7 linked regions of the Macaca fascicularis genome follow. The protein of the gene in region 4 interacts with the protein of the main gene of each other region in a pairwise test. Links are inferred from orthologs where the notes say so. Each region holds a gene or a part of one and is shown on either strand. Other genes may lie near its edges.

Region 1 (4,429 bases), on a different chromosome or scaffold from region 4:
CATGGTGGTGGGTGCCTGTAATCCCAGCTACTCAGGAGGGTGAGGCAGGAGAATCGCTTGAACCGGGGAGGCGGAGGTTGCAGTGAGCGGAGATTGTGCCATTGCACTCCAGCCTGGGCGACAAGAGCAAAACTCCGTCTTAAAAAAGAAAAAAAAAAAACAAAAAACACATAGCTAAAAAGAAATATTCATGTCAATGGATACTAAAAAAGAACAAATAACAAAATATATTAGGTTTATTGGTAAATGAAGTCCCACACCACACATATAGTAATCTTGTGAATATAGGTAACCAAAAAGCAAACTGTGAAATAAAGTGTCATTAATTTGAAATTCCACGTAGGAATTAATTAGTTCAGACAAAGCACAGTACTTATAAACAAATGTGTCAGTGGAAATTAATTTACTGGGCCGGGCGCAATGGCTCACGCTTATAATCTGAGCATTTTGGGAGGCGGGCAGATCACCTGAGACCAGGAGTTTGAGAACAGCCTGGGCAACATGGTGAAACTCCGTCTCTACTAAAAATACAAAATTTAGCTGGGTTTCCAGAAGGTTTTCAATTTACTTTGCCCATATCCATCAGAGGAATAACTATCTATAGTAGCTATAGATAGTAACAGTAAATGAGCATTGACTTCAACTTAAAGTCATCAGCTGCATTGGCCCCTAACAAGAGAGAAAGCCTGTCCTTTGAAGCTTTTTTTTTTCTTTTTTTTGGATGGAGTACAGTGGTACCATCACAGCTCACTACAGCCTTGACATCCCAGACTCAAGTGATCCTCCCACCTCAGCCTTCCAATTAGCTGGACCACAGGTGCACACTATAATGCCCATCTAATTTTTAAATGTTTTGTAGAGATCGGTTCTTGCTATGTTGCCCAGGCTGGTCTTGAACTCCTATGCTCAAGCAATCCTCCCACCTTGGTCTCCCAAAGTGCTGGGATTACACGTGTGAGTCACTGTGACCAGCTCCTTTCAAGCCAGGTAATACTTCTCCTTTCTACCTATGAAAGTCTGAGATGGCATCTTCTTCCAATAGAAGGCTGTTTCATCTGCACTGAAAATCTGTTGTTTAGTGTACCCACTTTCATTTTCTGCAGCTTCTGCATCAGTACTTGCTGTTTCACTTTGGACTTTTGTTATAGAGAAGGTTTCTTTCCTTAAATCTCAAGAACCAACCTCTGTTTTTTTTTTTTAGATAGTCTTGCTCTGTCACCCCGGCTGGAGTGTGGTGGCACAATCACAGCTCCACTGTAGCCTCGACCTCTATGGCTCAAGCCAGCCTTCCTTCTCAGCCTCCCAAGCAGCTGGGACTATAGGTGTGCACCACCACATCCGGCTAAATTGTTTTGTATTTTGTAGAGACAGCATTTCACCATGTTGCCCAGGCTGGTCTCAAACTCCTGGGTTCAAGCAATCCACCCACCTCGGCCTCCCAAAGTGCTGGGGCTACAGGCATGAGCCATTGCACCTAGCCAACATTTGCTACTTTCAAACTTCTGCAGCTTCCTCACCTCTCAGCCTTCACAGAATTGAAGAGAGTTAGGGCCTTGTTCTGGATTAGGCTTTGGTTTAAAGGAATGCTGTGGCTGGTTTGATCTTCTACTCATACCACTCAAACTTCCTCCATATCAGCTTATAACTGGAGTAGCACTTTTAATTTCCATGTATTTGTTTGTTTGATGGAGTTTTGCTCTTGCTGCCCAAGCTGGAGTGCAATGGTGTGTTCTCAGTGCACTGCAACCTCTGCCTCCCGGGTTCAAGTGATTCTCCTGCCTCAGCCTCCCAAAGAGCTGGAATTACAGGTGTGTGCCACCATGCCCGGCTAATTTTGTATTTTTAGTAGAGATGGGGGTTCACCATGTTGGTCAGGTTGGTCTTGAACTCCTGACCTCATGTGATCCACCCACCTCAGCCTCCCAAAGTGCTGGGATTACAAGCGTGAGCCACCGCGCCCGGCCCCATTTTTTTCTTCATATTCACAATTTGGCATGACTTCACATGCCTTCCCAGCTACTCGGGAGGCTGAGGCAGAATGGTGTGAACCTGGGAGGCAGAGCTTGCAGTGAGCCCAGATCGCGCCACCGCACTCCAGCCTGGGCAACAGAGTGAGGCTCCATCTCAAAAAGAAAAAAATCAAACCAACAAAAAAAAAGGAAATGCTGTCAACAGACTTGCTCAACAAGTACATGTCAGTTCCACGCTCCTCAGTCTCATAAAGTCAGGGACTAGAGACCAATCTGTAATTATCAATACGTACCTGCCTTTGAGTGAACCTTCAATGCCAACTAGGAAGGGCGCTTCCAAAACGACGTTATTTGTAACTCCTAGGAACACAAACACGGGTCAGAACTCATACTCTGCGGGCCTTGAAATGGAAAATCTCTCCTCTAGACAGACTCATCCCCGCCATAAATGTCAGGAGACTCCCCAGTTCCCTGCCCCATCCCCAGGCCAAGGAGTTATGTGCTTCCAAATTTTCATTCCGTTTTCTTCCCCAGGTGGAGAAGGCGGGAACAACCTCTCGGGCTAGCCTCTGCCTTTCCCGAACGCCTCACTGCACTCACTGGAGAAGACCACGGCCCCAAGGGACCGCGACAGGTCCCAGGCGAGGTGCACCGAGTCGGCGAGCACGGCGTGGCATTGTGCGCACTGGAAAACAGCGCACCTCTCAGGCTGCAGCCAAGACGGCAGCTGCGAGACGGCGGCCGGCTCCTCAGCCCCCAGCCCTGCGGGGCCGAGCGGCGAGGACCCCTTCACCACCTGTGTATCCCACTCCATGGAGGTCGTAAAAGATGCTTCGTCAATCGCCCTCTCAGTGCCATCACAAAAGTCACCCTGGGGCGGCGTTGCACAAGGGGAGCGATGCCGCCGCGGCTGAAACGCCATCTTCTCTCAGCCGGCGCCGTCGTTTCGAATACACGCCAGGCCCCGCCCCAAGCACAGCTCCTGCGTCCTCATTGGACATCGTGGGCAATCCAAGCACTGGAGTCCCAGTCCGCGCACTCGTTACCTGAACCGGTCTTACAGGCCCTTCGGCGCCTGCGTATTCGTGAAGTGTGAGAAAAGCGCGCGACTGTTGGGACGGGAAATCAGCCTTTCTATTGGTCAGGGTTAGAAACCCCGCCTTTGAGGCATTTTCAACCAATGGAAGCGCGGCATTCTTCATTTAAACTGTCTATAAATTTCAGCTTAGTCAAAGTTAAGAGTGGCGCCAGGGATTTGAACCTCGCTTACGAGACTTGGTGATCCATCTTCTGAGTATCGCCGGGATTTTGAATCGCGATGATCATCCCCTCCCTAGAGGAGCTGGACTCCCTCAAGTACAGTGACCTGCAGAACTTAGCCAAGAGTCTGGGTCTCCGAGCCAACCTGCGGGTACGACGCTGGCGGGGCAGTTCCCTGGGCGGGCGCGGCGGGAGTAGCGGCCTCAGGGAGATGCGGTGCGAAGGGACCGAACGGGAAGCCCGGGGACTGAAGCAGCCGTCCCTGCCCCTCGGGCAGTAGATGTGGTTCACGGTGGTCCCAGTTAGAACTCTGATAAACGGAAGAGGAACTGTAGTTTTCACCTCATTTTGAAGCTGGCTTGTCTGGGTGCTCACATGATAAGCCTCTGTTCCGAGGGGTGGTTTGTTGTTTTTCGTTTTTTGTGTTTTTTTTTTTTTTTTGAAATTACTTTATACCTCTCAGGTCATCGATTACGAAACGCAGGCCCAGAAAGCAGAAGGGGTGTCGTTAATCGTTAGACAATTAAGTAAATAATTGGCTCAGCTTCTAGAAAACCCCACACAGACTTCAGTGATTTGTAATATTGCCGATAATCTCTTGATACTTTATTGATGGACCTGTCAGGGGGAAAGAAAAAATCGACTTTTAGGGGACCACCTCCTTGGGTAAATTTTTATAACTCAGCCCTGATCTAGTATACTCATGTGCTTATTGATGACTGTTGTGGTGATGGTATCTATCAAAACCAGTAAGGTCTTTGACTCCGAGGCTACAAGATGTTAGGGGAATTGGCCGGGCGCGGTGACTCATGCCTGTAATCCCAACACTTTGGGAGGCCAAGGTAGTTGGATCACCTGAGGTCAGGATTTCGAGACCAGCCTGGCCATTAAAAAATTAGCCGGGCGTGGTGGCACACGCCTGTGATCCCAGCTACTCGCCTGTGATCCCAGCTACTCGGGAGGCTGAGGCAGGAGAATCGCCTGAACCTGGGAAGCCAAGGTGGCAGTGAGCCAAGATCGCACCCACTGCACTCCAACCTCGGTGACAGAGCGAGACTCAGTCTCAAACAAAACAAAAACAAACAAACAAACAAAAAACAAGATGTTAGAAGATTTGGGGATTCAATGTAGGATAGCGGTTTTATATATTTTGTTAATAGTTGAGACTTCCCACATAATACTGCTGTGTGCTCTCTAGG
Region 2 (3,714 bases), on a different chromosome or scaffold from region 4:
CTGGGAGCGTGCCTGATGCAGCCACAGAGCAGGCTGGCTGTCCGCGTGAGGGGATGCCGTCCCAGTCTTCCACAAAATGGGGTGCTTAGCCCACAGAGAGCGCACTGTCTCCGATGGACAGCTGCATCTGCCCTGCCTCCCAGGGCAGTGTTTCTCCTAGTATGGTCAGAGTCAGAATCACAGTGCAGGTCCAGGGCCCTCCTGCAGAGACTCCTATTCAGGCAGTTCCCTGCTAAGAAGGCCCTGGGTGACTCTGGCATAAGCAGGCTCTTTACACTTGGGGAAACAGCACTATGAGGTCAGCGGAACTGACGTTTATCAAGCATCTCCAAGTGTCATGCACTTTGTGTATGTCATCTCATTTCACCTCAAAACAAACCTGTGACCCAGGCAACATTAGCTCCACTTTACAGATGAAGAAACTGAGGTTCCAAGAAATTAGTTAACTTCATCAATACTAAGAGGCAGAACTGAGCTTCAGACCCGAGACTGGTGGGGCTTCAAAGACAGGACTCGTTGCAGTGCCAGGTTAGAGGAAGTCACCCGGCAGTCCCCCCGCCCCGACATTACCTGCATGATGGCACTGAACTGGGGCTCATTCTCCATCTGCTCCTCAGAGATCCCCCTCTGGACACTGGCCAGCACGGTGGACTTGAAGAAGTACCTCCAGTTGTGATGGAGTGTCCGGAAAAGGAGCTCAAACAGCTCAGCCTTCACATCAGGGGAGGGACGCTGCAGAGACACACAGACGCTCAGATCTGCAGCTTGTGGAGCCGCTCTGGCCTGGGCCCAGGGCAGCAAAGATGCCTAGGAGATGCCTCGTGACAGTAAACCAAGTGTCAACACTCCATCCACATGCCTGTCACTGCCTGCGCAAAAGACATCCAGCCCCTGGAGTCCTGTCACTGCCTGTGCAAAAGACATCCAGCCCCTGGAGTCGGCGGTTCACACCGTGAGTTCTTCAGCAGAGACAGGGCCCACATTTGAGAGAGAATGCATGGGTCAGTGCCAGGGGCCCCTTTTTCTGATGAGCACTCAGCTTTTACACTAGAAAAAAGCTACCAAGTGGATAAACAATTAGGAGTATGGATTTTCTGTTCTATTCGACCTGTCAGATCATCTTGCTTGTTCCTTTTCCCAGGATGAAAAATGCTGTCCCACTAACCTGTTGGTCTTACACAACCACAGAGGCTAAAGACAGTCCCAATGCCTTAAAGTGATTCTGCTCCCCAGAAGAGGAGGGTTTAAAGAACACTTGGGAGCCAGGCTCTCTGGGCCAGTTTCTTTCCCAGCAGCCAGGATTCTGAGAGGAGGTAGAGGAGAAGGGGCAGGCTCAGCAGTGTTTTCTCATTGAATCCAACACCCGCAATCCCTTATTCCAGATGTCTCTGGAGAATTCAAAAGCAGAAGGCCCACATATGTTCAGTTCAGTGTTGATTAAAATTAAATAGACACCAGGGGCCACAAGCGTCCACAGAAGAAGCCTCATAGGCCAGTCTGTCCCATAGACCAGACCTGTGCCAGTCTCAGTTCAGACAGTTAAAGATTAGCTCTTATTTATATGACTATTACCAAAAAAACTGAAATTACATCTATACTTATTCCTGGTCTTATCATGCTGAGTGCCTGCCTGTTTTCTAAGGACTAAGGGCTTTCCTGTAACATTAAAAGGTTTGTTTGAATGGTTTCAAGAACTTGCCTTGTATCCTTGAGACCATGAATGTTTCTAATAGGAAAGTACATATGTTAGAATGTTTGCTATAGAAAACCAGAGTCTCTTAAAGGTATAAATTATTTGCTGCAGGAGACTGATCTTAGCAACTGACCCTGTGGAATAACTGCTGTGCTTACACTAGACTAGTTCCAATGAACTCGATCAATATCAAAAGACTGTACCACGCTAAAGGCCTTCTTCCTTGGGAGAAATTACTTTACTAGCATATTAAACTAACAAATGAACTTTAAAACACAATCCATTTTCTGTGAAATCTCACTCCCTTCCCAATCTGGAGATGGGGGGCCGCACAGGGGACTGCCTGAGCCCCTACCTCGGCGATGATGGGATACACCTGCTCCATGCACAGGGCGATGATGCTGGGGAGGAAGGGCTTGAACACCTGGCCTGGCTCCTGGACCACCACCTGCAGGATCTTCAGAAACTTCTCCACCACCCGGCAGCCTGTGCTCCCCTCATGGAGGATGCTCTCAGCTAACTGCTCTCTACAGATGAGAAAGCCACACAGTGAGCAACCACATGTTTCTCTGGGGGTCAGCATGAAAACCCATGCTGTGGCAAGTACAGAACAGGAGCAAAAAGCCACACTTTGTCGCCAGACCCACTACTTCTCCCTTGAATCTGAAAACCATGGATGGGGGGTCTGTGGTTACCTGGTAAACATGTTGAGGAAAGTCTGTATGATTTGCTCAGTGAAAGGCACGCCCATCTGTACTCTAAGGCCCCGAAACAGAGTGAGGAAGAAGCTTAGCATCTCATCAGTCACATCTGGGGAAAGGGGCAGAGACACCGTCACAGGCTTGCACACAGGGAGAACCAGAACCCTGGGCTTCATCGACCTACTCCTGAAATCTGCACTATCAGCTTTCTCTACGGCTTCCTGCTGGAAACATTTCCCCAATACCATCAGGGCCAGTGACAGAAAGTGGAAAATGATTAGGGACATGCTGAGAAAATAGTTCTGGTATAGGGAACCTCCACCTGGTGGCTCACTACAGGAAATGAAGGTCATCTCGAACCCTTCCTCATTGCCCGACATCCAGTGACAGTCAGAGTGTCACTGGAGAGGGATCACTTTGTGCCCACAGTGATGAAACTACTCAACTGGGTCAACCCCTGAGTGCTTAAGTCATTTCCCCCTATGACTAATAATCCCTGCAGTTGGGTCAGAGGTTGAGTGGTTGAAAGTGGATAATGAAGGTGTATTTAGATTGCATGCCCCTGGTCCATTAAATGGACTAATTGCAGAAAATACTGCTTACATTTAGGGCAGTTTCACTTCCAGATCTCAACAATCATCTTGTGTAGTGTTTCAGCTCTAACTGCACGCAATCTGCTTGCAAGAGGCAATGAATATTTGCTGACTGAGAAGTGCTTGATATTTCTCTTGTAAAACTGACAAGACTACTATAATGCTCTCATGAGAGCTGGGCAAGTACATCCACAGAGCTAGAGAGGCCCTCTATCACTGACAGTGACAGACAAGGGTGAGGGGAATGATCTCGGCAAATGCGCCTTGCCACAAAATAAGGAGAACTAAACCAAAAAAGCTCTCTAGCCTTCTCTTGTAGGTGCCAAGGCCCATATGGAGGGCTCTGCTCACTTTTCCATAGGACCTTGGCCCCAGACTCCGCAAATAAACACCACTGCCCTTTCCCTTCAGTACCGGGTTTCGTTGCACGGAGCCAGTCGAGGCCTGTACTGCACTGACTCAGTGTGCTTTACAGATCTAAGTGGGCATTCTGGCCCTTGTTAGCACCACCCACCAGTGGGGCTCTGGGCCAGCTCCTACCTGACTGATGGATAAAAGCTGGAAAGAGGGCCAGGGAGACCTGAACGGATTCCTGCAGCGACTGGTAGCAAATCTGTCGAGACTTGGTGGACTCCCCCGAGATATTCTCCACAATATCTTCTAAGACGCTGAGTGTCTGGTGGATAATCACTTTGGCTGCAAATCAAGATGAGTTGCAGGTTATAAG
Region 3 (4,170 bases), on a different chromosome or scaffold from region 4:
TGGAGAGTCTGACTCTATTGCCTAGGCTGGAGTGCAGTGGTGCTATCTTAGCTCACTACAACCTCTGCCACCCGGATTCAAGCAATTCTCCTGCCTCAGCCTCCCGAGTAGCGGGAATTACAGGCATCTGCCACCGCGCCTGGCTAATTTTTTGTATTTTTAGTAGAGATGGGGTTTCACCATCTTGCCCAGGCTGGTCTTGAACTCCTGACCTCTTCATCTACCTGCCTCGACCTCCCAAAGTGCTGGGATTACAGGGGTGAGCCACTGCGCCCGGCCTTTTCCATTCTCTTTAAAGCACTTCACACAAGTTATGTTACCGGTTTACTCACCAATATTGGCAGGAAAGGGAACTTCATGTACTGCTGGATCCAGGTTGATCACATAAGGTGGAGTGCCTTGGGCATGCAGGTGTCCTGTGAGCCTCTGCAGAGATATGGGGAGAAGGTTGGAAGGAGACAAAGAGGGGACAAGAGAGAACTTCCTTTACCACCCATGCCTTAAGAGTTTTGCACTTAGATTTTCTTTTACCTGAAATATCCACCCACTATATCCAACACCAAGATACAACTCTCAGTTCAAATGCTACCTTTCTTCATCACCCATCTAACAAAACTTCCCCTACTCATAGTCACTTGTTTACTTGTTTTGATTCTTCGTATGTGGGTTTTCTCTATCTCCTCCATTAAATATTTAGCCCCATGAATGAATCTTGTCAACCTAATTTTCGCTATATCCCCAGTGAATGGTACATAACAGGCGTGCAAGAAATAATTCTTCGGCAAATCTTCACCAAAACCTGTGTGCTAGCACTGTATTAATCTCTAAAGTTACTTGTAAGCCCCTGCCTTCAAGAAACTGGCAATTTTATCAGCAAGACAATTCCTGTACAACGTGGTAAGCTGACCGAGTATGCACTGAAGGTGCACAGAAGACAGCCTTAATTAACCTGGCTAGGGCCCGAGGAGGCTTTGCCGGGGAAGGAACTAAAGTTGATGGGAAACGACCGAAACCCATGCGCCGATACCCTCCAAATCCTCGGAGACCTCCCTCCCTTTCTCCCTGGCCTTCCGCCTGTCGGAGGCAACCTTTTGCGCTCCCCTACTACACCCACGCTGTGTACGTCACCTGTACAAAGGTGGTTTTCCCGGATCCCGCCATTCCCAACACCAACAGACACACTGGGTGCCGCGGACCCCCAGAAGCCTGGGGCTCAGCTGCAGCTGCGGGCGCCGCCATCTTCCTCCTGGCCCCGCCCACCTGACCATAGAGACACCGCATGGCTAGAGAAACTTCCGCGATGTTCTGGGCAGCGAACGAAAACAGAACCAAAGCGTCAGAAAGGAGCGTGAAGGGGCGCGGTAGTTGCCAGGGCATCTTCTTAGTATCGGGCAGGGCTGGTGAGCCAACTAGTGACAGTGGCGAGGAAGTGGGGGCGCTGAGCAAGCGAGAGGAAGGCTGAAGGGAGCTAGGAAAGGGCTCTGATCTCTGCAGCCTGGGAGGGCTTTTGTCCCCAGGGGGAAGGCGAGAAGAGATGGGGTCCCGAGGGCAGGACTCACACAGCAAGAAAACAAGGCGCATGCCTCTCATTTCGAGCCCGCAGAGAGCGGGGAGCGGAGCCACTGGAGGACCGGCTGCTCGGGTTTATTCGGTAGCCGAGGCGGTTAAACAGTTCAGGGCTGGACCAGCCAGGACTGGAGCAGGGTGCAGCCTCCAGGGTTGCTGGGCAGCACCGAGACCCTTTGAGCACCGAACGGATAAACTACGGGAGTTTTCCGCACTTGCACGTTGTTCCCGCGAGTTGCAGGCGCAGGTTCCTGATGCTAGCGCTCATTCCTTGGTAATCACCCTCGGTGAACTACGCAGTTGCCGTGACCTTCAGGATGAATGCTTGGATTCCAGGTGCGAATAGGTACTGGAGGGGAGCTTCCTTCTCACTGAAGGGCTCTCAGAAACTCAGGAAAGATGATGAAAGAGCTTAGAAAAGTATTTCTACTCGCAACCACCCAGTCTGTTTCTGTGGCCCTTTGTAGCTGCTAACAGTGTTCAGTAAGTCATAAGATCTGGCTTTCATACCCAGGCTCTGCCACTTGCTAGTGGTGTGAGTCATGGGCAATTCACTTAAACTCTCTGAACCTGTTTTCTCTTTTTAAAACTGAGATAGTACCTCCCAGGGTTGTGGTGAACGCACGTTGTAAATGATGAGCTAAATCCGTCATCTTTTACCACTAGCTGGATTCCCCTCACCTTGCATAATGTCTGGAACATTCTGGGTACTCAGAAATATTCTCTGGTATAAATAAAGGACAGTTCTGCACTTCCTAAAGTTTCATCAACTGAGAGAGGAATGTCTCATTTGTTCTTTCAGGTTTGCTGAGGGCCCCAGAAGGCTCCTTCCACCGTATCATAGGCTAATAAATAATTTTGTCAAGCCAGAGAAGCTAACAAAGGTGGAGACAATCCTTAAAGAAAAGATAGTGGCGGAAATGACGGTTCTGAACAAGCATATAAAACAAGCTCAAATCCAGCGGGAACAGCTACTGGAGGAATACAGGGAGCTATACCAAGAAAAGTTACTTGTCCAGGCTGAAAACAGGTTCTTTCTGGAATACCTGACTAACAAAACTGAAGAGTACACAAAGCAACCTGAGAAGGTATGGAACAGCTATTTACAACAAAGTGGAGAGATCGAACGAAGAAGACAAGAATCAGCCTCCAGATATGCAGAACAAATTTCAGTGCTTAAAACAGCGCTCTTGCAAAAGGAAAATATCCAATCCAGTTTGAAGCGGAAGTTGCAGGCAATGAGGGACATTGCTATATTAAAGGAAAAGCAGGAGAAAGAAATACAGACATTACAGGAGGAGAAAAAGAAAGTCCAAGCTGAGACAGCTGCAAAGACACGTGAAGTACAGGCCCAGCTCCTCCAGGAGAAAAGATTACTGGAGAAACAACTGAGCGAGCCAGACAGGAGGCTACTGGGAAAGAGAAAAAGAAGAGAGCTTAATAAGAAAGCCCAGGCCTTGAAGTTGGCAGCAGAGCGGTCTATTTTTGAATACTCCTGTGGCCTCAAAAGAGAGAACCAGCAGTTCAAGAAGGAATTACTGCAGCTAATTGAGCAAGCCCAGAAACTAACGGCTACTCAAAGCCACTTAGAAAACAGGAAGCAGCAGCTGCAGCAGGAACAGTGGTATCTGGAGTCCTTAATCCGGGGGAGGCAGAGATTGCAAGGAAGTCATAATCAGTGCCTAAATAGACAGGATGTTCCAAAGACCACACCCAGTCTTCCCCAAGGCACCAAATCAAGGATTAATCCAAAGTAACTCCTCCTAAAATAACACTGATTAGATAACTGGAGCAAGTACTCTTAAGTGCTACATTAACCTGGTTAGGAAGGCTTTTGGATTCCAGATTGTTATTGTAACATCTCCATCATGAGTGTTAGAGTGGAGGATTAGATGATCCAACAGTCCTACTAGATATTTGGTAACCAGCTTCCCTTAACTAGTTTTTTCTTGAAATACTCTCGTTAATAAGATATTCCACAAACCTCTAGTTAACCTAACACATGACCCTAACCTAGCCATTTACCATACATCAAACTAGCTAAAGGAAACCAACCCGAGGAAGTGAAAACAGTTGTGATTTATTTCATCTAACTAGATTTCTTTATAGAGAAAAAGTACCTTTAAGGTTAGCATTCCAAATAGACTGAATAGCGTTCTGCTCAGTAAATAACCAGTATCAGTTTATCCTCATTCCTTTTGACCGACTTAGCAGACAAAAGCAGTTTTTATAAGATTTTTGTAAGTTTGTGCCAGTGACCAGGTAGCTCCTAGTTTTCTCATGAGCGAAAAAGCATTCTGATAACAGCAAGTCCAGTAAGTGCTAGGCAGAGTGACCTTTCATCTGATGTGAAGCCCCTACAAGTTTAGCTTTAAGTAAATTGAGAAGGTAAGAGAAGATGAAGGAGACATCTATTAGGTCAGCTCTTACATTTGAAAATGTTTTCTTTGAAGAAACATATGTAGCATGGAGGTGACTGAATGCCTCCCCTTATTTCAGGAAAATGTATCCAAAAAAAGTTGAAATATTTGGACTTTTTAAAAAGTGTCATCCATTTCCCTAGCAGCATTCTAAAAGATAGAAGTAAAATGATGTTTATTATCC
Region 4 (4,482 bases):
GTGGGGGGCTGGGGTAGGGCACGTCTCTGCGTCCTTACCACTGGCAGTCTGTCCAACAGTCTACCCTTAATTCCATCTGCTTTTGCTCAAAAACCTATACTGAGAAGTGGAAGGAAGTTGGACTTACTGCACAGCAATGGAATGAGAACACATCCACCTTAATTATAGCAGTAACAATAACCACTTTTATGCAGCACCTACTGTGTCCCAGGCACTAGTCTAACTGCTCGACGCGGATTAACTCATTTAATCAGCCCTATGAGGCAGGCAGTTTTTTTTTTTTTTTTTTTTTTTTTTTTTGAGACAGGGTCTCACTCTGTCACCCAGGCTGGAGTGTGGTGGCACAATCTCCGCTTACTGCAACCTCTGCCCCACCCCAGGGTTCAAGTGATCCTCCTGCCTTAGCCTCACAAGTAGCTGGGACCACAGGCACAAACCACCACACGCAGCTATTTTTTTGTATTTTCTGTAGAGACGGGGTTTCACCATGTTGCCCAGGCTGGTCTCGAATTCCTGAGCTCAAGCAATCTGCCCACTTCAGCCTCCCAGGGTGGTGGGATTACAGGCGTAAGCCACCGTGCCTGGCCCAGAGGCAGGTACTCTTAACACCACCTTGTACCACAGGGGAAACCGAGGCACCGGGAAGGGAAATGGCTACGGTCACACAGCTAATAAGAGGGGTGCAGTCAGGTTTTGAACTCATAAATCTGGCTCCAGAGTCTATGCCAAGGATGTATAAAATTTGGCTTCCTGGGGCTACATCGCAAGAACTGTCTTAGGCCACACATAAAATAACACTAATGATAGTTGATGAGCTCAAAAGGAAAAAAAAAAACACTCGCAAAAAATTCGTATGGTTTAGGAAAGTTTACGAATTTGTATTAGGCTGCATTCAAAGCTATTCTGGGCCACATGCAGGCCCACGGATGGGACAAGCTCAGTTTATGCTCTTAGCTGCTACTCTGTATACTGTCTCAGTGATAACACAACCCCTACAAGCTCAAGGAAATATAGGGCAGGTGCTCAAAAGCTGGCAAAGTGGACAATAAGTGCTCTAAGGGAAGGTGGTCAGATCCCAAGAAGGGCTTCCTGCCCGCGACAAGTAAGGGAGGAGAAAGAAGCTTGTGTAAAACGCTCAATACCAGGATTCCTCCACCTTCTCTGGACCTTGATTCAGTCTCCTAACTGCCACAGAAGGGATGAAGGCTGAACTCCAGCTGGGATGTCCTGACGTGGATGGGACAAGGTGGGTTTCTGCAAGAGAGAAAAGACTGACATCCACCTCGGCTGGTGGAGGGCCCTGTGCATGAGAAGGGGCAAGATGGCTACCCTCTGACTAAAGGGAAACGGAGATCTTCCATTTTTGGCAGGGTTGGGAGATAGTTCCTATCCCGTGGAAGCTAAGGACTGTTTGAAAGGAAGCCAAGGGCAAGGGATGGAGAAAAGGACGCAGCTGGGGCCTCGATGTCTGAATCCCTGCCAGGGGATGGGGCCTGGGCACCCATCATTTGGAACGGAAGATGAGGATGGCCGGAAACAGACACTTCAGAGGAATGAGGGAGACAGAAGAACGACAGCAAGAGTTAGACAGTCCAACGTCTGCGGCTCTTGTAAGGGGGAAAGAAGAAGTGAGGCTGGGCCCCAATAAAATATGTTGAGGCCGGGCGCGGTGGCTCACGCCTGTAAGCCCAGCACTTTGGGAGGCCGAGGCGGGCCGATCATGAAGTCAGGAGATCGAGACCATCCTGGCTAACAAGGTGAAACCTCGTCTCTACTAAAAATACAAAAAATTAGCCGGGCGTGGTGGCGGGCGCCTGTAATCCTAGCTACTCTGGAGGCTGAGGCAGGAGAATGGCGTGAACTCGGCGGAGTTTGCAGTGAGCCGAGATCGCGCCACTGCACTCCAGCCTGGGCGACAGAGACCGAGAGACGTCATCTCACCAAAAAAAAAAAAAAAATTGAACAGGAACGTATGAGTTGAACTCTGTGCATAAGGCTTGCCAGACACCGTCTTGAGTTTCATAAACCCACCAGGAGAGCTGATTTTTCTTATTTTACTTATAGGGAAATGAAGCAAGAGAACTTAAGCTATTTGCCCGAGGCCATCCTGGTAGGTCTGTGTTTGGGAGAGTGCTGTGACTCACGCTGGACTCTAACCCACGAGGGTTTCTCGGGGTCAGCAGTTGGGGGATGAAAACATGAAAAGTGTGGCTGACAGGAAATTCTGCAAGCAGGGAAAGGGAAACAGAAATTAAATGGTGCAGGTCTCCGGGAAGAGAATGAGACTGGATCCACCAAATCACAGGAGGAAGCAGGCCCAGACCTCACAGGCAGAAAAAGAAAGAAACCAGAGTTTAGGAGGAAACCAGACCCCGGAGCTACGAGAGGGCCGGATCCCTGGCTCAAAAGGGAGGAGGGGCCTGGACCCTAGGAGTGGGAAGGAAGAGGTCGGATCCCCTGATCCCCAGGAGGAGGGGACCGGGCTGCCACCCAGTTGGGGCCCCGCGAGGGCGGGGCGCGGAAGGATCCGGGCGGGCCATGCTGCGCCACCCGAAGTATATCTGTCCCCAGTCCCCGGGGCCGCCTCATTCCCCGTCCTCAGATCACGGTCTCTTCTAACTACAGCGTTCTCCGCCTCCGCCTGCGTAGCCCCGGCCATGGCTCTGTAGCCTCGACCCCTTTGTGCCCCCAGCCCGACTCCGCGCTTACCACGCCTGCGCTCTCCGCTCCCACCTTCTTTCTTCAGCCGAGGCCGCCGCCGCCTCTCCTTGCTGCAGCCATGGAGTGAGTAACCGCTTACTTCTCCCTCTCCAACCGCCTTTCCCGCCCTTTCGCAGCTCGTGGCCCTCTTTAGGGAGCCCTGGGGGGAGGGGAGCTGCGAGCGGGGAATCACGGTCGCGCAGGCGCAGAAGAGGTACGGTGGGCCGAAGGCGCGCGGCTGCGCATGCGCACTGGGCCCGGAGCCGGGTGGGAGAGTTCTAGAGACTCGATGTTTGTCAGCCGGCGTGTGGCTGCGCCTGCGCACTCCAAGGGAGGGTGTGGTCTTTTTCTAAACGATTCTGTGCGTGCTTGGTTGTTCCTGCGCAGTAGCCTACCAGTGCCCCGTAATTAATGAGCGCGGGCCCTGAGTGTCCGCGCATGCGCACTGATCCCCAAGAAGGCGGAGGTGTAAAGCAATTGGACAGCTCGGAAGACGTAGCATGCGCTTTGGCCCTTGGCGCATAGCCGCGTGTGGACGGCTGGCGTTCGGGTAGCAGTTCTCTGCCTGCCCCCTCTACCCTCCTCCACCCTCCCTGCTCCACGTTGCTCTGGCTCACAGCCCAACTTCCTTCCTTTTAAACCAGGCACCTGCTGAGGCGGGGACTGGCTTAGATTGACAGGGGAGAAGGCGGGGCTTAGAGGCAGCCCTCTAAGTGGGTGGGGCTAGAACCACTGTCGTCACGATGGGTGGGATTTCGTGAGCCCATTGTGAGAAGGGGCGGGGCTAAGCCAACCTTTAGCTGAGGGGTGGGGCTTCGATGGGACAAAGAGGCGGGGCCTCTGGGGAATCGGAGAGGGGCGGAGCTAAATAAACAATGAGGGGCGGGGCTTGGAGGGGCAGTGGCAAAGCGAGGAGTGGGATTTGAGTGGATAACATTGCTGAAGGGCTGGGGCCTGGGGCAGTTCCCCTGGGCACTGGTTTGGGATGGAAGCTAGGAAGGCAGTGGGGCCAAAAGGAAATATTTTAGGGCAAGGGGCGTGGCTGGAAGAAAATGTCCCTGGAATTGAGTTTTTCCATGATGCGGAATATTCTGAGGTGGATGGGAAGGGCCTAAGGTAATTCCCCTGGGAGACCCTTAGGTTTCCGTATTGGGGGAAAGGGTGGGGCATCGGTCCTACCTTAGGACCTAAAGAAATTCCCTTGGGAGTGGGTGGGGCTCAGATTTGGGTAAAGAAAGGGCAAATTTAGAATTCGGAGAGGCTGAGGCTTAGTTATAAACTGTGGTTGGAAGGGGGAGGGAGGAGCCCCGTGGACGTGCCTGGGGGTGTGGCTTGGCTTCCCCATGATTTTGGCCGGTGGATGAGGCTTTCCTGACCCCACGACCCCACCCACTCTTGTCTCACACGTGTAGGTCTTCCACTTTCGCCTTGGTGCCTGTCTTCATCCAGCTGAGCATCCTCCAGAGCCTCGTCCCAGCTGCTGGTGCAGCGGCTCCTGTTGCCATCAGTGCCCTGCACCTGTGCTACAGCGCCCTGCACCTGTGCTACAGCCATGTCACTCCTGGCCACCCTGGGGCTGGAGCTGGACAGGACCCTGCTCCCAGCTAGCGGGCTGGGATGGCTCGTAGACTATGGGAAACTCCCCCCTGCCCCTGCCCCCGTGGCTCCTTATGAGGTCCTTGGGGGAGCCCTGGAGGGCGGGCTTCCAGTGGGGGGAGAGCCCCTGGCAGGTAAGGGCAGGTGGAAGGTGGAGCAGGGGAGTGGAGGGCAGGGGAAGATGGG
Region 5 (4,444 bases), on a different chromosome or scaffold from region 4:
AGTACCGGTTAATCTTTTCTTCTTACTAAGGGGCCGCCTGCATTTCATGAAAGTTGCAATAACTTAAGAAAACCAAAACTGTTACACAGTGAAAACAGTTTGTATGCAGATAAGCTGGTACCAACTGCTTCTAGACAGACAGATGCAATTAGAATGTAATATTTCTAGCAAAGTCTGGTAAGGCTATGCCTGCAAATCATTGACCAAAAATGGTAACAGTGTGTGCAGACTAAAGAAAATGACAAAATGTTCCATCTGATAGTTCAGTTGAGAATACGTTTGTTTTTAAATAGCTAATTAGAGGGACACAATGTAAAGGGGGAAAATATGTAAATTAAGCAAAATGTCCATCATATAGAATATACTAATGAGCACCTGTTTACTTTTTGGTGACTCTAGTATTTTAATGGTTTTTAAAGCTCTTAAATTTGCTTGTATCAGCATCCCAGCATCATGCCCACACCCTGCGCACCAAGTTCTGGCAGAGTCCAACTGTCTACAGGTCAGAAAAAAAATTCTAACCATACACGGACAGATCGGGCAGGGAAGGGTTAAAAGAGACCCTGCCAAGCTTGACAAGCACGACCAGAGTGCTGCTGGAAGCCGATTGCCAGATAAAAAGAAAAAAAAAAACAAAGAGGCTGCAAGGCCACCCCGTTCTAAATCATGCCAGTATCCTGCTCGTTAGCGATCATTCCGTGCTGTAGGGCTGTTCCATAAAAGCTTTAGCTTCCTTATTGAGATGGACAGACCTCAAGGGCTGGAACGCGCACAAGTCGCCGAGCGCCTCAGCGCTAGCTCTGGGGAACTAAACCCACGCCAACAAGGACGGTCGCCGGATTCCGACGCCCCCCGCCTCCCACTCCTCGGCCGCGGTGTGCAGCCCCCCGGATGGATTTCACAGAGCGGGTGGGGGCGCTCGACCCCGGCCAGTTGTTGCAAGGCCCGGTCTGGAGGCACCGCAGAGGCCACGCTCAGGGCGGCGGCCTCGCCCCAGCTGGGAGCTGCGCAGCGGCCGCGGATCCGCCCAGGGGCGCCAGGGCCCAGCCAGGATGGCTGGCGACGAAGGCCCGGAGACCCCCCGCCCCACAACCGCGCGGCCCGGAGACTGCAGCCGGGCCGGGTCCCTCCCGGGCCTGGGGCACGGCTCAACCCCTTATCCCCGACTCCGCGGCGCCCCCGAGACCAGCAGCTCCCGGCCGCCTCAGCCCACGCCTCGGCCTCCCTCCCACTCACCATCTTCGCCGCGGCGGTCGCAGGGACGCGGGGTTGGGAGCTGGCGGGCAGCGAGTCTGCAGAGCGTCCTCTTCACAGCCGCGGGACCGAGCGCTGAGCTGACGCGGCGGCGCGAGCCTACCCCGGGGCGGGCGCGCCTCGGGACGGAACGCGGCTGCGCACGTCACGCACCTCCCGCCGTTGCTACGCAACCAGCCGGTCCGGCAACGCCCCGCCCGGCGGCTGTCCAGACTACCGGAGGGGAACTTCCCTCACCTGGTTTAGGCTGCGGGGCGGGGTCTCCCTCACTAGAAAGTGTTTAAGGATGAGGGTACGTGCTTTCTCGTCTGCAGGGGACTAGAAGGCTTACTAGGCTGGCTCCTGCTGGCGAGGGGCGGGCAAAAGATGATGGGGGAGGGGTGGCCTTTCTTCACCTCCTCGGGCGGGGCTCCCTGACGCTCCACCCACTGTGCAGGCAAGGCTCGCGCGGGGGGAGGCAGCCACCTGGCCAGGTGTTCTTGCCGCTGGGGGCGGGGCGGGGCCGGGGAGGGGAAAAGGAGGGGAGAGCTGGGGGAGAGGGGGACAGAGCGTGGGAAGCAGGGGGATTTGGCGGGGAGGGGCGAAGGGCACATAGTTGGGGGAGAAGGGGATGGAGAGGGGAGGGAAGAGGTGAGGGAGAGGGGACAGAGTGGGGAGAGGCGGGGGATGTGGGGGGAGGGGGCGAGGGGCACTTAGTGGGGGGGTGATAGGGGAGGGAAGGGGAGAGGTGAGGGAGTGGACAGAGTTGGGGGAGGAGCGGGATAAGGGAGAGGTGAGAGACAGGGACACAGAGTGGTGGAAGGAGAGAGATGTTGGGGGTGTGGGGGGTAGGGCCCGAGGACGGGGGACGCGCTGGGGGAGGACCCGCGGGAGCGGAGTCGCGGGCCGCGGCGTCGGGGACGCCTCCCGAATTTTTTACCTACTTTGGTGCGATTCCCGCCGCCCTCCCCTGATTGGCCCAGCCTGGCTTGTCCTGCCCTCGCGTGAGGGGAAAAAAATCTGCACATTTTTCCTCCTTCCCGAGGCGACCGTGGCCATGCAGAGTGTTCTGTGAGTCACCGTTAATTTCAGGTCTGGAAAAACAAGGAAGATTTATTTATCTTTGGGAACTGCCGGGGAAGGAGGCCGGCGGCGCGCAGGGGTGTGGCTGGGAAAGGCCGCGCTGTCCCGGGACGGTGGCGCCAGCCCCGCCGCTCAGTTCTCCGGGTTTTTAATTTGGAATTGTGTTTTTCTAATGGGCGGTTGCGTCGGAAACACGGTTTTCAGAGGGCCGAGATGAATCCCAGCGTTTTTGCTGCGGGTGTTTTTGTGGGAAATAAAGGGAACAGAGAGAATTTTATAAATTAATTTAGGTTACCGAGAACATCATGGCCTCGACCAAAACTACTTTAATTCTCCAAATATGAGGCTTTTGGACACGATGGTCAGTATTTTTTTCTGGCACTATATAAAATCTAGGTTGTATGTGGCTTTTGTTCTGCCCCGCTCAACATAGAAACCCATTTCTTATTACCCTCGTTCTTTTTAAAAAGGACGGTAAGCAAGTTGTGCAGTTTTAAGCCTTTACCACCTGAGACATGATTTTTGGCGGGCTAGAGCAGTGGTTCTTAACTTTAGCATGCATCAGAATCACCTGGAAAAATTGTTCAAAGCTAGATTTGTGTGCCCCATCCCCAAGGTTCCCTCACTACTTCTAAGGTGATGCCTGAGAATGTGCGTTTCTAACTCCTAGGTGATGCTGAAGATGCCAGTCCAAGGCCACACTCCTGAGCTGAGAAGGAACCCCCCTGTATCCTACTGCAGCTGGAACCCTCTGCTTTTCTGTTTGCATAGGACCCTGTGGCCTCTACACTTCTTAATATTCAGACTTCCTTTCTAGTCCAAAAGTGAATGGTGCTCATTTAAGGATACATGCCTGCCTGCCTGCTCCAGCCTCTCCTGCATTTCGTCCTCCACTCTGCCACCAGAGTTATGTCCAAACATAAGACTGGTCTTGTCACATTCTTGCTTAAAATTTTCTGTGGCTTCCTCCATAACCCTCAGCGGGTCAGTGTGGCCCTTCTGTCTCTGGCCTCAGCCTACTTTTTCTGCCCTATCTCCCATATTTTCCTAAGTGCCCACTGCCCCTCCCAGACGAAACTTCTCATAACAGAACACCTCTTACTAGTTCTAACTACCTTGATCATGGGCCTGCTTATTTTTCAGCCTGGAATGTTCCTATCACCCCTCACATCTGAAGACTTCTCTTACCACTTCCCAAGGATCAATAGTAGTTGCTGCTTTTTTTTTTTAACTTCCTGCCCCCCACCCCTTCCAACTCCTTCACCCCCGTAGTTCCTTCTATAATCCCAGAGTTCATCACTTCTCAAACCTTTTTTTTGTTTTGAGACTGAGTTTCGCTCTTGTTGCCTAGACTGGAGTTACGGTATGGTGCGATCTCGGCTCGCTGCAACCTCCGCCTCTGGGATTCAAGCAATTCCCCTGCCTCAGCTTCCTCAGTAGCTGGGATTACAGGCATGTGCCACCACACCCAGCTAATTTTGTATTTTTAGTAGAGATGGGGTTTCTCCGTGTTGGTCAGGCTGGTCTGGAACTCCCAACCTCGGGTGATCCGGCCACCTTGGCCTCCCAAAGTGCTGAAATTACAGGCGTGAGACACTGAGCATGGCCACTTCTCAAATCTTAATAAAGATCCAAGTCACCTGGGATCCTTGTTAAAATGCAGATTCCAGAGTTGAGAAGTGGAGTCTTAGATGACCCCAGGAAATGCAGATGCTATACTTTGAGTTTGGAGGTTTTATGGTTTTTCCCTACAATTACTGTAGCTCTGTAATTACTTATGTGCATTTGCCATTACTACCAGATTACGCTGGGAGTTCCTTGAGGTCATGGGATATTTAAGATGCATATGTGTGAACTTGGCATAGCCCCTGATACATAGTAGGTGTTTAATAAATGTTCAGTAAGTGAACAAGTATCTGAAGATGTTTTACAATTTATCAAGCTTCTGTATCAGTTTATCACAACTTAAGATGAGCCCCCATTTTTTTTAGGTCCCACTGAACTTCAGCCTCTGCATTTAACACCCAGGTTTTCTAGATAGTGACATTCCTCCTCTCCACAAAGAGGAAAAGAGTTTTCATACAATGCTATAAACTAATAAATATTTATGCCCTCCAGAAGTTGAAAG
Region 6 (4,220 bases), on a different chromosome or scaffold from region 4:
TCAGATTTGTGAGCAACCTTACCGTCTTTCCTTTCACCCATTCAGTGGCTAATGAGCTGGAGGCAATTGCAGAACCACAGCCAAATGTTTTAAACCTAGCATCCACAATTTTCCCCTTTTCATCCACTTGAATCTAGAAAAGAGACAAGAGTTAAGTGGTGAGTCCTAGGACCACCCTCTGGAACTTGGCACTCACGAAGGTTCATTGGGGCCTTCCCCAAGGGCTTTGGGCTTGCTTTCCATACTAAGTGATGGTATTAATTACTGATTTTGCCTTGTTTCAGAGAGCTCAGTGATGAAAAGTGAAATGCAGGGACAATTATCCAGGCCCAACTGACAAAGATCAGCTGGAAAATATGTTCCTCCACCCCAATATTATTTTGTTTTGCGACTCTGGCTTGCATTTTGGCTATGAACTTCTATTTGAGGCAGTCTGCTCACAGCTGCTGGGGCAATCTGCCTCTTAAACACTGAGAGAGTACACAATAAAGGTCTCTGGTTAATACTTTTTTCTTGGGCAGCAGATTATACTTAGTGGTTTCCTCCTGTTTTGTTTCTGTATTCCAAGATAGGTATGAAGATCTCTGGCAAGCTGCCCACTCACCATGAAGCAGCAGATTGGCGCTACAACAACAGTTTACCCAAAGCACTAGACACTATCTTCATGTTGCTCCCAATCTGGGGACAGGTTTAATTTACTGTGTTTCTTATCTCATTGGGGACTGCTAGCTCACTGGGATTTTCCTTTGATCAGTAAAATTCACAAAACTCTTTCGTTGGCTGAAGTTGGAATTTAAACTTATACAGTGAGTACAAAAATGAGATTACTTTTCTATTTCGGAAAAAGTCGGCATAGTACACTAGCCTGGCAGGAGAGCTACGATTGAGGCCCTGTTCCAATCACGTCTAACATGGACTCATCCCATCTCACAGGAATAAAGATGGAGACCGAGTGAAATGCTGTATGTGCAAGTGCTTTGTAAACTTAAAGGGATTATTGTTATCACTATTAAAGACTAGCCATACCTGTAATTTCATTACGTCACCACATGCTGGAGCCCCCACCAGTCCAGTTCCAACATTTTTAGATGTCTTGTCAAGGGACCCCACGTTTCTAGGATTTTCATAATGATCAACAACCTAAAATGAGAGGGTTAAGATAAATCGTGTTCACTCTCTATTGGTGCTGGTCTCTGGTATGGTGGCAAGCTCCTGGAAGTCAGCATCTTGAACCTGGCAGGCAATCACCAAATTTCACCTGAGTAGAAAGGTCTACACTCATGTCAGTGAGAACCATTTGTGACCCCCAATTCCTTTTGTGTCTCCTCTACAACTACTTCACAGATTAGCGACACCTAGAAGAAAAAAATATCAGTGAAATCATGTCTTAATTCCATAGGGTTTTTACAAAAATACTTGACTTTTACCCACCTACATCACCAGACTTGGGCTCAAACAGCAGTTTTGTTATTTTCAAATAAAAACTATCCTCAAAGGATGATTACTATTTAAAAATTCTAAAAATAACTATGGCCCAGGAAGGGAAAACTTTTAGAAGCCTTAAGGTGACTGTTACACAGAGAACAATGCTATGGAATGTGTACGTTTATGTGTCTTTCAAAATAAAAACAGTGCCATTACCGTATTTCAGAGCCTGTCATCACCCTGGTGCAGCAGCGCACCCTGGCTGCTGAAAGGCTGCTAGTCCAAGTTTCCTCGGGGTGTACCCTCAACGAAACACACCGCCGGGAGGGGGAGGAGTGAAGAAGCCCTTGGAGAAAGGGCAGAGGCCAGATCAGAATCAACATCCATTCGAACTGGCACACAGAAGGCCTTAATGTGGTTACTGGTTAGTAGTAAGCACCCCGATCTTCCAGTCCCCTTTTCCTCCCCATCTGACTAAGGATTTTGACTCCAAGTAAAGGCCCCTATAGGATAGTATCTAACGGAGGGACTTTTTGTGCCACGTTGATTTATGGCATTCTTTGTTTCTAGAGTGGGAGTCTCACGTCTGGGGGACTTTGCGTCACCAGACAGCAAGGGGCTGCAAACTATGCATCTATCCCTCCTTCCCCGCCAAAAAAAAACCCCCAAAACAAAACAAAAACACTACGCATGTTGGTTACAAGCCTGACTCCCCTATGCACTCCTAAAGCAGTAACAGAAACGGTCTCCTCGTGCTGGGGCCTATGTGCCAGGAACCATGACAGGACTCCATGCACAGTATCCTTTGTAAGAGACAGCTGAGAGTCCTCATTTACACCTGGGGAAACAAGTTCAGAGAGGCGCAGTGACTAGCGCAAGGTCATCTAGCCAGGGCAGCAGCGTGGCTGAAGCCGGAGCCCGCTCCGGGGGTGTGTCTGTCCCTGGACTCTAAAAGACAAGTCCCAACAGGACCCTGCCTCCTGGGCTGTTGGCGAATTTAAAGTTGGGACGCACGAAGTCGCGGCCAGCGGCGGGGCCCCCTGGAAGTCGCAGCCCGATGAGCGGTAACTGTTGTTTATCAGTTGCAGTGAGCCTCACTGCGCAGCAAGGGAAAGTGAGTCAGGGCAAAGACGTGGGAGGCGACAGCTAGTCCTGGCTGCGTAGAACCCCGCGGCCGCCGCTCCAGCCCAGGCCTCCCCCGAGTCGGCATTCCGCGTGTCCCCTCGTTTGTCCCTACCTTCTTGTGATAGAGTCGGGCCGGGGCCGATAGCTCCCGGGCGGGCAGGCGGGGGCTCCGGAGCAGCAGAGCCGACGCTGCCCGCCTCAGACGGCCAGCTCCAGCTGCCGCCATCTTGCCGGCTTGCGCCTGCGCCAGTCCAGAGCGATGCCGAGGGGCGGGGCGCGTCTGCGAGTCGGCGCCGAGCTGGGAGCGCGCCTCTCTGGCGTCACCGAGGCTTTGCGCCTGCGCCTTACCGTTCCGTGCAAGCCTCCGCCCTGTGGCCCCGCCTTGACCACGCCTCTCGGGGGCGGGCGGGGTCGGGAGCGGGAAGGTCTGAAGTCGCTAGAGGGCTTGTCCTGGGTGCTGGATTCTGGTTGAGAGAGGATCTCAGGCTTCTGCAGTGTGGGAATGCGGCGCAGAGGACCACTGAGTCCACTTTTCCTAACCCTATTTTGCAGCTAAGGAAGCTGAGATTCAGGGCAGTTTGGTCACTCCGTCCAAGGTCGCTTAGGGCTTAGGTTCAACTAGAATTCGAACTTGGGTAGTCCTGGGTTAGAATCCTGGTTCGGTTCCTTCCTGGCTGTGTGTCCCTAGACAAATGGTACCGGCTTGCTAAGTCTGAATCTTCCTTTTTGTATTAATTCGAGGACAATTCCTTCATCATGAAGCCAGCATCTGTGTTGAGTACCTACTATGTGTCAAGGCACTCTACTAGACCCGGGGATCCAACAGAAAGCAAAACAGACGTAATTCCTGCCCATTAAGCTTGCTAATGAGGGAGCAAGGTAGAGATAGAGACACACTCCAGTACTTGCCTACCTCAACAATGGGAAGCTTAAGAAGGAAACGAACACCATGTCCTGATTGAAAAAAAATGAGTATATGTCTATTTTTCTCTCTGAAACAACAGCAAATTCAATTTATATGTCGGTGCCTAGCAATTAAGAATTTCTAAAGAAATGCGTATTTACTGTTGGTTTGCAGTATGTGAGCTTATAAAACCGGAAAACTCAAGTGTATTTAACGCCTCCTAGGTACCAGATGTTTACATAAAGGGGAAGAATTTCTTTGGGAAATGGATTTTTCTCTTGAATGGTGAAATCGATCCTTCCCCGAGGACCTGCAGTTTTCTTTGCGTTTGAGGTGCAGTTGCTGGGGAGACTAAACCCAAGCGCCAGGTCACACTAGGCGATAAGTAAGGTATTTTTTCTAAGAATCACTTTGACCTTCTCAAGATGGCGCCAAATTCTTTACTACAGACACCACGCTCGCTTCATGACTTCCTCTATGGCCTCCACTTCCTGCCCAAAGACCCAACTTCTGTCCGAAGTTGTGACGGAACGTATGCCATGATAATGAGTTTTTTCTCTGGTGGGAGTTTTTACAGGGGTATAAAATAAAATGAATTTAGTGTATTTGGAGATTTTCTCGTTATCTAAGGTTCCCAGTTTCCCTTTCAGTGTCAAGAAAACGGGCTTTTGATAAGGCGCGCGCCGCGGGCAGCTTCTGCCTCAGCGGGTCTTCGGCGGCCGCGGGAAGACCCGAGAGTCATTAGAAGCGCAAGATGGCGACTGCG
Region 7 (4,182 bases), on a different chromosome or scaffold from region 4:
AAGGAGGGAGGGAGGGAGGGAGGGAGGGAGGGAGGGAGGGAAAGGAAAGGAATTTATAAACAATACCCTGGATTACGCTTCAATAAACATTTTCTGTAAACATTTACTAAAGATAGTAAACATTTTCGGTTTTGCAGATCATACAGTCCCTGTCACAAGCACAGCTGACCCTTAAACAACATAGGTTTGAATCGTGTGGGTTCACATAGAGGAGAATTTTTTTTTAAATAAATACAGTCCTTCATATGAGCAAGTTCTGCATCCACAGCCAAAGTGGATCAAAAATACTGTGTTCACGGGATGCCAAACCTGCACATATGGAGGACCAACTTTTCGTATCTGTGGGTTACGCAGGGCCAGATATGGGACTTAGTGTGCACAGATTTTGGTATCCACTGTCCTGGACTGTACCGGACTTTGCTGTTGCAGTGCAAAAGTAGCCATAGACACTAGTAAGTAAATGCACATGGCTGCATGCCATCCGCCAAATCTCTCTCTATTTATGGACACTGAAAGTGAATTTCATATAACTTTCACATATCACAAAATATGATTATTTTGGTTTTTTTCCCCAACCGTTTAAAAATGTCAAAATCGTTCCTGTTTCCTGGGCTGTGCAAAAAAACAAATCTGATGACATCCTGCCCTACATTATTTTAACAGTAATTAAATAATTACTGTCAATTAATTAAATAGTATCTATTAGATAAATTTAAACTCATCTAATTGCTGTTTTCTATTTTGTGCACAGTAAAGGTTTTATAGAAAAATTGTAAAGAATAATCAAATGATGAAAATGTTCAATTTTAAAACAGAATTATTTCCTTCTCTCTCTCAAAAAAAAAAAAGGACTCAATCTCTTTAGCTGTTAATTATATTCCTGTAAACAGAGTAACCCTTAGGAATTTCTATTTGCTTTCTTTCTAATCTGCAAGCCTCACAGCACTCACATCAAGAACAATGGCATGCACACAGTTCTTAAATTCAGTCCGGTTTCCTTCTTCCTTTTTTTTGTGTGTGTGTGCTGAACTTCAGCCAAACATTAAATTACCTTGGGAAATAAAAAGTAAAAGAGAAAGAACCACAAAGATGGTATTTAACCTCATTTTATGAGGACATTCAATCTGAATTTAGACAAAAAGAAAAGCGCTTTGTTAGTGTGAGAAGCATGAGAACTGGAAAGAAGCACAGAGTTTTTCAGACCAGCCTACTTTCTAAAGTTTGTTTTCCGGTAACTATGCTCTTGTTTCTATGCAGGTGAGGTTGTAGGTCAGGTGTGTGTGTGTGTCTATAAATCCACACCCATTTTTAACCAGAAACATCCAGAGTACATTTCCAACAAGAGCACTGGCCAAGTCAGGTAAGCAAGCAAAGTTTCCAGATTACTTAATCAGTGGTCAAGCTTTGCAATATTTAAATAATCACCTTTTGCTATATAAAAGTGAAGCTTTCAGTAAAGGCTGGGAAAGTGAAATGAATTTTTAATTTTCTTCTTTTACCGAACTGGATTTCCTTTGCTAGTTTCATAGTTTTATCTCTATTTATATTAATGGTATTAGAATAAATTGACATCAACCACAAAAACAACTCTTTAAAAATTATTCTACAAGTATTAATAGCTCTTCTTTATAGTCTTTTAAGTCTTGTTTTATTTTAAAATATAGGTGCTTATAATATCAGTTACTTATGTTAAATTACTTTTGAAAAATAAAATACTAATGTCAGAAAATGCTAATTGACCAATGTTTATACAACCTAATTTCTGGCATATGGTTATATGCCTCCCAAATGCATTTTAAGCTGCTATAGGCCTGTAACCATGCCATATTTATCTGTGTTCCCCCAAGTATCTTAACCTTGCAACTGATTCTAAAGGACCCTCAGCAATTTACAGTGTATGTTACCAAGGAAAGCATTATTTATTCAAAATCTATAATGTACAAGTTGTACTGCTTTGTCACAGAATATATTTAATACCTATTTTATAATTTATCAATGTAAAACCAGAAAACCAAGATTTTTATTTTTTAATTAGAAAGTATTTGACAATAATACATAAATATTTGAAATTTTAAGGAAAAAAATGTTCCCACCTAACTCTAAGCTTGGCAGCTTTAAAATAGCAAAAATGATGAAGTTATGCTTTTTCTTTTTTAAAATGCAGATTCCACCTGCTTGTCTCTGTACCTAACATAGAAAAATCTTTCTAAAGTGCCCTCCAGATTGACTTTTCTTAACTCTTCTTTATATCCAAGATCCCTGGAAGAATTTTAATGAAGTTTTGGACCCTATTCCCATGGAAAAGGAACAGGCAGATAAAATTTTGCACGCAATTTCCAGGGGTTTTGAGCCTTCTGTAGCTCATCCACAGGCCTTCTAGAAGCCTGCTGGATTCAGGTTAAGATCCTGTCCTAGATGGTTACTTCAGTTCCTCCACTGCAACTCCCAACCTGTCTAACTACGGCTGCCTTTGCTGGGTTGGGTTTCATGTTCCAGAGTCAAATGTCCCTGTCCTCTACTAAAATCCACCCTTTCTTTGTTTCAGTCTTTAAAGTACAAGATGACCGAGGCCTTAAGGTACAAGATGACATTCTGAAATGTTTTATGGCTTAATAAGTTATGGAAACTTAAACTGAAATCCTTATCAGGCACCATGATCATTATTTAACAGGGTTTTTATATGCCTGGAAAGAAAGGACGGAAGAGGACGGGAGGGGAAAGGAGGGGAGAGGAGGGGAAAGGAGGGGAGAGGAGGGGAGACGAAAGGAGGCCGGGAGCTGTGGCTCACCCCTGTAATCCCAGCACTTTGGGAGGCTGAAGCAGGTGGATTATTTGAGGTCAGGAGTTTGAGACCAGCCTGGCCAACATGCTGAAACCCCGTCTCTATTAAAAATAGAAAAATTAGCCAGGTGTGGTGGTACACACCTATAACCCCAGCTACTTGGGAGACCAAGGCAGGAGACTCGCTTGGCTAAGGAAATTTTACTATTTTGGTGACAAATTCAATACTAAATAATGTAAGTCAATAGGAAAGACATCTTAAAGGAACTTTAAATAAATGTGAAGGATATCTGTATATTTATTTTATATTTTGAGGTAAAGTTTCAAAACTGCATGCGCCAACCATTTTCAAATGAGTTTTATATGCTAATGCTGTAACTAAACATCTCACAAGTATTACAGACTTCCTGTAATATATTTATCAAGTGGTTTATGACCAGATCCAGATCAGGTCCAACTTTGGACTTTAGTTTTTATCTTAATGCGCAAAGTATAAAAGACTCACATTGAGTTAAGAATCGGTTTGAATTCTAGCTAACCAGGAGAGAATGTAATCATGGCACGTCTACGCTTCTCTATACATATGTCTAATGTATAGTAATATGACAGTATTTTATTTTTATAAAGAGCTGTATTATAAACTGAAGGGCAAAATTCTGATTAATTGTTGAAAGGATGAGAAAGGTAAGAAACTATAAAGGAACTGAAGGACAAGAATCCTCCATATTCTATTTTTCCTCTGATTTCTATTTTAAGCAATATTTGTTCATGTATAATCTTATCTTGGTATAGAGTCAAAATGTTTTGACCTACTAGATACAGGAGAATCAAAAGGCAAAGAATATTTCTGCATGCTAAAAGTCACTTTATAGTTTACAAGACATTAAAAAACATAATCTTATTTGAGTTTCATCTTGGTGGTGTGAACACTACAGGGCGATTCAGAAGCAGGCTTTGTGTGCCCTGAACCAGCTGTCTTTTAATTATACAGCACTATGCCCAGGATGCTCAGAACGTGACTTCTCACCAACTGAGCATGTATTGAGTTGATTAAGTATTTTAAAAATAAAATGTGAATGAAAGTTCTATGTGGTTGGTTATACCATGTCAAACCAAAAAAGCAGAACAGTCTGTCGTCACAGTATTGGTCCAACTCTTAGCAAATATCTTTTAATAATAGCTTGAAGCAACTCACTAGATTCTGAGAATTCCTTTCTGTCATCTAGCTTCTTCTGAGAGATTCTCTAGAAGACACGATGCTACACTCAGCTTTGGCTCTCTGCCTCTTACTCGTCGCAGTTTCTTCCAACCTTGCCATTGCAATAAAGAAGGAAAAGAGGCCTCCTCAGACACTCTCAAGAGGTGCTGTAATCTCATTTTATTTTCTAAACTCAGTCATTT

What was found.
Region 1: the proteins of NUP62 (region 4) and OIP5 interact in binary tests that used the Homo sapiens proteins (3 or more experiments, as listed by UniProt). The two-hybrid records come from large-scale screens. The link is inferred for Macaca fascicularis from reciprocal best matches to the Homo sapiens genes NUP62 and OIP5.
Region 2: the proteins of NUP62 (region 4) and XPO6 interact in binary tests that used the Homo sapiens proteins (3 or more experiments, as listed by UniProt). The link is inferred for Macaca fascicularis from reciprocal best matches to the Homo sapiens genes NUP62 and XPO6.
Region 3: the proteins of NUP62 (region 4) and CCDC121 interact in binary tests that used the Homo sapiens proteins (3 or more experiments, as listed by UniProt). The two-hybrid records come from large-scale screens. The link is inferred for Macaca fascicularis from reciprocal best matches to the Homo sapiens genes NUP62 and CCDC121.
Region 5: the proteins of NUP62 (region 4) and BFSP1 interact in binary tests that used the Homo sapiens proteins (3 or more experiments, as listed by UniProt). The two-hybrid records come from large-scale screens. The link is inferred for Macaca fascicularis from reciprocal best matches to the Homo sapiens genes NUP62 and BFSP1.
Region 6: the proteins of NUP62 (region 4) and ISCU interact in binary tests that used the Homo sapiens proteins (3 or more experiments, as listed by UniProt). The two-hybrid records come from large-scale screens. The link is inferred for Macaca fascicularis from reciprocal best matches to the Homo sapiens genes NUP62 and ISCU.
Region 7: the proteins of NUP62 (region 4) and AGR3 interact in binary tests that used the Homo sapiens proteins (3 or more experiments, as listed by UniProt). The two-hybrid records come from large-scale screens. The link is inferred for Macaca fascicularis from reciprocal best matches to the Homo sapiens genes NUP62 and AGR3.

What each region holds. Positions count from the first base shown.
Region 1 is NC_088381.1:17,880,630-17,885,058, forward strand, and holds the start of OIP5 (protein Mis18-beta), read right to left. Parts: upstream 2,923-4,429; 5' UTR 2,893-2,922; coding exon 2,571-2,892; intron 2,331-2,570; coding exon 2,264-2,330; intron 1-2,263. Other genes in the region: NUSAP1 (nucleolar and spindle-associated protein 1), read left to right, coding at 3,289-3,381. UniProt on the Homo sapiens protein: Required for recruitment of CENPA to centromeres and normal chromosome segregation during mitosis.
Region 2 is NC_088394.1:27,187,221-27,190,934, forward strand, and holds part of XPO6 (exportin-6), read right to left. Parts: intron 3,684-3,714; coding exon 3,528-3,683; intron 2,504-3,527; coding exon 2,389-2,503; intron 2,221-2,388; coding exon 2,049-2,220; intron 733-2,048; coding exon 571-732; intron 1-570. UniProt on the Homo sapiens protein: Mediates the nuclear export of actin and profilin-actin complexes in somatic cells.
Region 3 is NC_088387.1:94,604,900-94,609,069, forward strand, and holds the start of CCDC121 (coiled-coil domain-containing protein 121), read left to right. Parts: upstream 1-1,297; 5' UTR 1,298-1,534; coding exon 1,535-1,902; coding exon of another isoform or gene 1,903-1,912; intron 1,913-2,368; coding exon 2,369-3,323; 3' UTR 3,324-4,170. Other genes in the region: GPN1 (GPN-loop GTPase 1), read right to left, coding at 333-426, 1,129-1,239.
Region 4 is NC_088393.1:57,910,478-57,914,959, forward strand, and holds the start of NUP62 (nuclear pore glycoprotein p62), read right to left. Parts: upstream 2,919-4,482; 5' UTR 2,710-2,918; exon of another isoform or gene 2,588-2,709; intron 1,255-2,587; 5' UTR 1,143-1,254; intron 1-1,142. Other genes in the region: ATF5 (cyclic AMP-dependent transcription factor ATF-5), read left to right, coding at 4,253-4,430. UniProt on the Homo sapiens protein: Essential component of the nuclear pore complex. The N-terminal is probably involved in nucleocytoplasmic transport.
Region 5 is NC_088384.1:69,720,132-69,724,575, forward strand, and holds the start of BFSP1 (filensin), read left to right. Parts: upstream 1-1,433; 5' UTR 1,434-1,546; intron 1,547-2,255; exon of another isoform or gene 2,256-2,325; intron 2,326-2,986; exon of another isoform or gene 2,987-3,140; intron 3,141-4,444. Other genes in the region: DSTN (destrin), read right to left, coding at 1,237-1,239. UniProt on the Homo sapiens protein: Required for the correct formation of lens intermediate filaments as part of a complex composed of BFSP1, BFSP2 and CRYAA. Involved in altering the calcium regulation of MIP water permeability.
Region 6 is NC_088385.1:115,395,229-115,399,448, reverse strand, and holds the start of ISCU (iron-sulfur cluster assembly enzyme ISCU), read right to left. Parts: upstream 2,804-4,220; 5' UTR 2,777-2,803; coding exon 2,663-2,776; intron 1,772-2,662; exon of another isoform or gene 1,141-1,771; coding exon 1,027-1,140; intron 134-1,026; coding exon 23-133; intron 1-22. Other genes in the region: SART3 (squamous cell carcinoma antigen recognized by T-cells 3), read left to right, coding at 4,209-4,220.
Region 7 is NC_088377.1:113,324,297-113,328,478, forward strand, and holds the start of AGR3 (anterior gradient protein 3), read left to right. Parts: upstream 1-1,320; 5' UTR 1,321-1,360; intron 1,361-2,545; exon of another isoform or gene 2,546-2,577; intron 2,578-4,007; 5' UTR 4,008-4,037; coding exon 4,038-4,143; intron 4,144-4,182. UniProt on the Homo sapiens protein: Required for calcium-mediated regulation of ciliary beat frequency and mucociliary clearance in the airway. Might be involved in the regulation of intracellular calcium in tracheal epithelial cells.